2 linked regions of the Danio rerio genome follow. The protein of the gene in region 1 purifies or fractionates together with the protein of each later gene. This does not show direct contact. Links are inferred from orthologs where the notes say so. Each region holds a gene or a part of one and is shown on either strand. Other genes may lie near its edges.

The links.
Region 2: the proteins of plin2 (region 1) and marchf6 purify together in Homo sapiens (affinity purification with western blotting; 3 studies listed by BioGRID). This does not show direct contact. The link is inferred for Danio rerio from reciprocal best matches to the Homo sapiens genes PLIN2 and MARCHF6.

The regions. Positions count from the first base shown.
Region 1 is NC_133190.1:19,439,990-19,443,914, forward strand, and holds the start of plin2 (perilipin-2), read left to right. Parts: upstream 1-917; 5' UTR 918-919; coding exon of another isoform or gene 920-937; 5' UTR 938-1,067; exon of another isoform or gene 1,068-1,080; intron 1,081-3,340; 5' UTR 3,341-3,453; intron 3,454-3,925. UniProt on the Homo sapiens protein: Structural component of lipid droplets, which is required for the formation and maintenance of lipid storage droplets.
Region 2 is NC_133177.1:33,448,201-33,452,135, reverse strand, and holds the start of marchf6 (E3 ubiquitin-protein ligase MARCHF6), read right to left. Parts: upstream 2,498-3,935; 5' UTR 2,286-2,497; coding exon 2,267-2,285; intron 1,461-2,266; coding exon 1,361-1,460; intron 1-1,360. UniProt on the Homo sapiens protein: Endoplasmic reticulum membrane-associated E3 ubiquitin ligase that plays a critical role in mitigating endoplasmic reticulum stress, the regulation of cholesterol and lipid homeostasis, and ferroptosis.

The sequences.
Region 1 (3,925 bases):
ATTGCTTATTTCTCTGGATCTGGTCTTCAAAATATTTGGGATATTGTAAGTATGTACGTCAGTAAATATATATATATATATATATATATATATATATATATATATATATATATATATATATATAATTTAACGTTAATACAAAAATCTTACATATTGTGCCTTTAATTAACAGCAAATTTTTGTTTAAGCCAAACTATTCCTCAAGTTTTGCCCAAGCTTGCATTAGCCGCACATTTAAATGTATATTTCACAGACAAAATAATAATAACAGAAATCCTGCCATTAAATGCAAAGTGATAAACCTGCACGACTTTCCTCCTCCACAAAAAACACAAAAGTGTGTTGTTAACAAGACCATAAAGAACTGACACTCTCACAGCCTCAGTCACCATTCACATTCATTAAGCATTTTTGCATACAATGAAAGTGAATGGAGACTCACTCATTCTGGTTAGCATCTGCTTTTGTATTGCAAAGCAGCAGGTTTATAAGGGTGAATGTTTTATATATATTTACTGTGCATTCAAGTAACGTTAGATTCAGATGAATCGTGCATATTGGTTGACTAAAACAATGTTGAGACATCAGCGGTGCATTTAAACGCTATTTAAAACGCATGCATGCTTATATTAGCACACTCACTGGGACTTCCTAAAATCCGGGAATGTTTTGGGAAATACTTGAGGAGCCCAAACAACACTGAGCTAAACACATACTAACGTTAGCTAGGTCGCTACAACTAACGGTCTGTAAAGTCAACGGTTTAATCTGAGGTAAATAAACAACACTCTTATCCTGAAAATCGCGCAATCCTCGATATACAAGACAACCCCGCGAAGAGGCAAGCCCCAGTTCCTCCCCACCCCCCAAAAAACGTGTAGAGATGCGTTAAAACGTCAACATTTCGTCGACTGCTTACCATTTTATTCGAGTCCATGGTTCAAGCGGGGTTATGGAAGTGAAGGTGAACACCGGCTCCCTGCTCGGGGATCAAAAACAGACTGTGAATCCGCCGAAGGAGGCGGAGGAGAGAGCTGGAGCGGCCCGTTAACTCAACATGTGTCCGGGTCAGTATCGAATAGTCTCTCTCTCTCCCTTTCTCCTTTTCTTTCCCGTTCCGTTCTCTTATTTCCCCCGCGCGCGCCCGAGATCCGATTGGCAGATGGCGAGACTCACAAGAAGCCTCTAGAAAAGCAGAGCGTGTCATAAACGTTTTATAAAGTGTTCAGACGCCAGACTAAATGCTCTCTGACAGGTACCGAGCACAAAACACAGATTGTAACGCTTAGAGGAGGAGTTCTTCTTGGGTTGATGTCATTTGCCAAGCTTTTGACTTAAAAGGAGAACGATTCTGTCAAAGGTTGCACCAGTAAAAACAAACGCAAGTAGAAATGTTTGGGTGATGCAATGTTTTTAGCACACAGTGAGACTAAAATAAGGTTTAAATGCTTGTAATGCTCTAAAACTTTACTGTAGTTATGCAAAAGCAAAACACACTCATAATGCATGACAATCTGATTTATAGATGTATAGAGTCATATATATCTGTAAATTAACCATTTTTCATACTATTATTTTTAAATGCATGCCTTTGAATTGCATTATAAAGTCTTGATCTTTCTTTTAAAACTTGTGATGTTGATAAGTTAAAAAAAGACTTCTAAAAAGATTTTTAATTATTTAAAGTCATATACTGCCTGGGTTGGTGTTGTAAATTGTACACAAACCTGGTAATAAATAACCAGAACTTTGTTATTTTAAGGACTTTATTTTCTATATATTATTTGTAATCGAATGTGTTGTTTAAAGCTACTAAAATGTCTATAAAAGTCACTGTGTTAAACTGCAGACTTGATTTTCAACATCATAAAGTAAACAGAGCAGATTAAAGTTTAATTATGCAATTTCATAAAGAAATAAATGAATTATTGTATATTTGTTTTACAATGCATTTATGTAGGTGGATTATAAATATGCAGAATGCAAGAGCTGATTGATTTTTTTATTTTATTTTATTTTAATTGAATTAACGTTTATAGAAAAGAAGAAATGTACAATATAAATCAGGAAGTAATCTGTAAGAAACTGAAATACAAGTACCTACAATTACAAAGTGATGAGAACAACAAGTTACAAATAAGAAATAGAAAAATATTTAAAACAAAATAAAGAAAAGGGAAGTACAAAATTAAATAAGCACAGAAAGCATCTAGCAACTACTCACTGGAAGCATGATATTTTCATACGTTTCTATTAACTTGCTGAATTTTTTGTTCTTAGATAAACGTATAGCTTTAAGCAAGAAATCGATTTCAATTTAACAAATGGGCAAATGAGGGGGGATTTAAGAAATTTTTGCTTGAGGACAAAGATTTTCGCATATAATAAAAAAAAAAGTTATATATTCTTAATTTTTTTTTTTTATTAAAATAAAAACAAATATTATCTTTCAATTTAAAGTTTTGCTTTGTTAATTGTAATTTATTAAAATATTTATATAAATCTGACCAAAACTTTTGTGAGATTTTACATGTAAAAAGTCAAAGTTTCCTCACTTTCCTGACAGAAAGAACAAATCTATGCAATATCAGTAAATTTTGACACAAATGCATTGACCCGGTATATTTTGTGTAGAATTGTAAAATGAATTTCCTTTGCTTTAAGAGCTGATTGATTACATTCCAGTTTGAATACTTTCTTGCACGAGATCACGTGTGTGATGTTGGTCAATAGCGCCCTCGCCTGGTTGTTTTAAAAGCTCAGGAGAATGAGCTGCTATGTTGTATTTAATCCAACAGCTGCTCATGTGTAACAGCAGAGCTAAATAAAGATTATTTTAATGATGGATATAAAAATGTGAGAGTATATGGAACATTTTACCAGAAACCTACATTATCTGTCCTTGAATAAAAATATAAATACACTGAATAAAAAGTATTTAATGCCGAAAAATGTCTAAAATGGACTGATGGTTTATTTCTGTGAGCTGTCCTGTAAAGGAATATGTCATTCATTTGGTTCACAGATTTTTTTTCTTTATTAAAACACTTTACAGATGTACAAACCCTCTTATTGTCCTCAGCCTAATTGGACCTACAACTTTAATCGTTTTGTTATGCTAAAAACTGTTATTTAGGGGGAAAAAACTTTAGAAATAGCACGTTTTAAATGTTATCATTCACATCAATTGATCAAAAATCTAAAATTATAAATAAATTCTACAAATAAATACTATTTTACAATTGTCCCCATGTTTCTGTCAGGCCTGTCACATTTGCATTAATTTTAACAAAAAATGTGTGCAATAGATCTTTTTATTTATTTTTATTTTTTATTCAAGAATGAAAACCGCAACCACAGTCAGGAGATCAATATAAGCGAGATACACAAGAAGGTTACAAGCTACATTAGCTGCAGAAAGAAAAAAAAAAGACTAACAAAACAACGAAAGGGGTAAGTAAATTACAATTGTACAAAAGTGTATGAAAATAAATTAATTATGAGCCTTACAGGAAAGCTATCTAGCTAAAAATAGAAACAATAGACAAGTTCTTCATGCAGTACCAATAATCTGACATTTTTTGTTGTTACATATACAGAAAGATTTGTGCAGTGAGTCCACTTCAATTAGAAAATGTCTAAAAGTAGAGATTGAAGACATGCATTTTGTTTCTATATAAAAAATTCCAACCAAGATAAAAAATGTTGAAGATAAATTCTTTACATTTAAGTGCAGAATCTGAGTAAAAACAAATAATTTAATTTAAACTAAACGATGCAAAGGAAGAAGGAGTGTTTAAATAATGATACAGGTCGAACCAAAATTTCGGAACAAATTGCATGCAATAGACCTTTAAGGTCTATTGCATGCAATTTCTCAGAGGAAGTGATATCATTTGATGGAGGAGAAGCTGACAGTGATCAA
Region 2 (3,935 bases), on another chromosome or scaffold:
TTCGCGTGAAATGTATATATATTTGTGTATATATAAATGTGTGTGTATATATATATATATATATATATATATATATATATATATATATATATATATATATATATATATATATATATATATATATATATATAATTTTTTTTTGCGTATATAGTTTTTATATCAAAGCATTGGTCCACAAGTTTCAATAAAAATTATTTACTAAAAAAATTAACATGGATTTTTAATGTTTAAGGAGGATGCAACATTTTGGATGGCCTTTAATGACTTTTACTAGGACAATACACTATCAACATAACATGATGTACATGTGTAATAAAATCAAAGTCGATCGAATGCTTAGGTAAAAAAACTAAAATGTTAGAAAAGATTATTTAAATTGATAAAACACTTTCTACAAAAGTTTTCTGGGTCTATAAAGTTTGTCTGATAAAGAATATATAATACTTGATAAAGAATATTTAATAGCTGTCAGTTCAAATACAAAAGTTAGATCAACAATATGAACAGACTACCACGACCTTGTGTATTTAACTTGTTTGTGTCAATGTTTGTTAATCTAACATTGTACCCATTTGAGTAAATTAATTTAATGTTTGGGTAAACTATCCCTTTAAAAACACTTTTATTCATGTATAGGGTTTAGATTTAAAAAAAATGCTGCTCTTCTAACCTTTTTGTTTATAATCGTGAAAAACCTATAAGGCAACACACCAATTTTCAACATAGGCATTTGATAACAAATATTACTTGAGCAGAAAAATCTGTATATTAGACTACTTACTGAAGGATAATTTGCCAGCACATTGCAATTTAATTTAAACTGTAAAAATAATCCACAACATTACCGTTTTCACTGTTTTTCATTAAAATGACTTGACTTGACTTGAAAAGCTAAAATATCTTTTGAATTCACCAAGATTTTCACCAAATCAACTTAGTTATGCTTAGGCCTTGTTGACTTGCTAGAGCACAGCAAGTCATTTGTGACCATAAGATCTTACTCAAATTTTTATTTTATTTTATTTTTTTTTTTAAGGCTAGCAATCCCTTTTTTTTGCAACGGCTATTATTTTAATGCATTTTGGCAATTCCAGGACACCTAGAATTATCATCACTGCAGGACATTCAGCATTGATAACTGCTCAAATTACATTCATCTAAATTTTTATAGCAACCACCACAATAAAATAATAATAAAGTGCCTTTAGGCAAAAGCCATGTGTTGTTTATGACTTAAATATCCTGTTCCTGAGTTTAACAACAACAAACTCTAGCATGTTGACAGTCATTTCATACTGTTTGACCACCCCAAAAAACAGATTATAATAACAGTGAATTTGACAATAAACTAAGCTCTTACCATTCTTGGTGGATGAACTTAATACTTCCAGTACACACACAGGGATGGTAGAGGGGTTTGTCTTGGGTTCCCTCAGATCGACACACCCTACATATATCAGCTGCCAGAAAACATGCACAAAAAAAAAAACATTTTTAACAAAAGTATGTAGAATGCATCAAAATAAATGAGGATAAAAAGGATTGAAATTACCCCAACAACAAAAAATAGACTTGATTATGCTTTCTGATACTTAATATATGTTAATATCATATTCAGTATATACTAATATACAATCAAAAGGTTTTAATGCATGCAGGAGTATAGCTTGATTTCTCGTCAGTCCATATCTGGCTTATCTTAGAACTCTTGCTAAAATAATAGCAAAACTCTTAACTGGATTATAATGGATAACATCTGAAACAACTACAACTTTCACATGTCAAAAATCAATGAGATGTCATTGCAGGCAGTGTTTCAAACGTGGTATAAGTGATATCACTGATCTTATATATTACATTTATGCTATCGTATTTCAGGTGCGTTTAAACCTGGCCAGATTATCACAAACATCCGCTTCACATTACAACGGCTAACGTTACAGTTAAGCTAACAAGAATAATGTGATTTAGAAAATATAAATGGCATCTCATGAATTCAAAATGAAGTTCCAACGCAAATGAGTGTCTTTATTCGGACGTGCTAGGTGTAACGTTAGGTTATGACAGCTGTACTAAAGACCAAGCTGGCAGGAAAACATTAGCTTGTTAGCTTGCAAAGGCCAGATCAATTACAGATGCTGGTTTTGTTGATCGTAGCGTCCAAATCAAAACATAACGACAAATAAACTTCAGTCAAGAAACATTTAAAAAGCAAAAACGAGCAAACAGACAGCAGCCTGAAAGCCTCCGTGTCTAGACAGCTTACCTTCTTCGGCAGTGTCCATCTTGAACGGTGACGCACTGTCCTCTTTACAGTCAACACATAACACTCGCCGCGAAACAAAACACAATTATCAGCTCACAACCAGGCTAAAATACAGCATGACGACATCGATCCAAGCATGAACGCCGCATAACCCCGGACTGGAAGCCTTTTCTTTGTGTAGTGCTCGCGGATAGCGCTGATCCAGCTACTTGTTGGCCGACTACATTACTGCTCGGCTGAACATGTTTGTGGCCTCTGGATGTGAATGTGCTGCTACGGTTTCGATTTACGGCAGTGCAGTGCGCGTGCGCAAAGAACGCGACACTTTCTGGTGTTTTCCGTTGGTGACTGGATGCGTTTAACATTCAGTACTTTTGTTTGGTATGCGCAGTTTATGTTCACGTATATTTAACTTCATTCATTATTATTTATTATATGAACATAATACGAATTTGCAATGTTTGTAGTTTACGTATACGTTAAGGGGGTGAGGCAGGGGACTTTGAATCCGGTCACACCAGGGCAAGTGGTTCAAACCAGTCATTGGTTCAAACACACATACACACCTTCCTTTTATCGTGATAGACATTTGCATGTGCTTATTTTTTGTTATAGGTTAGTTAGCAACAGTTTGAATGCTGGCATTTGATCCCTGTAGACTACTTAATCTGGTGGTGTGTCATCCTATAAGTATAGTTATTTATTTGTAAAAGGACTCAGAATAACATTGAGGATTTTCTGGGCTTGGAAATCAGGCTTATTTCACGAAATATTCATTTCTTTTAGAGTAAATATAAACTGTAAAATATGTATATATAAATAAATATAAATGTAGAATATAAGAAGAATGACAATTTAAGAAGTGTATACATCATGCATAATATTTTTATAATTCTTTTTCAAATATTTCCCATAAGAGCTGTCTAACTTTTTTCACATTTTAACATAATAGTTTTTATAAATAATTTATTTTGCTATTGCCATGATGACAAAACGTCATATCTGACCATTTACTAGATACTAAACTGCAATTTAATGGCTTAACCCTGTTAATTAAGTTATGTTAATTAGGGAAGTTATTTGACAACAATGGTTTGAGTATTTTCTCAATGGGGCTAATAATTTAGACCTTTTAAAAATATTTGTTTTTATTAACAACTGTATTATTTCCAGCTAAACTAAAAGAAATGAAACATTATCCAGAAGAAAAATATATAAAATACTGTGTAGTGTACTGACATTTAATCCCCACAATGTAAACTTGTTAATCTGTACTCTAGTATATTCATTTATTTGTAAAAGGACAACTTGTCAGAATAACATTGAGGATTTTCTGTGATTGAAAATCAGGCTTATTTCATGAAACATTTCTTTCTTTTAAAGGGAATATAAACTATGTAATATATATATATATATATATATATATATATATATATATATATATATATATATATATATATATATTGTCAGCAAATTATTTTTATATTCAAATAATTCATATATTAGACTATAAGAAGTTTATAGAATCATTTGTTCATTCATTTTCTTTTGGCTTTGTCCTGCCAACTTATCCAGCATATGTTTTATGCAGCAGATGCCCTTCCAGCTGCAACCCATCTCTGAGAAACATCCAAACACACTCATAGACACATACTTTAACCTACGGAAA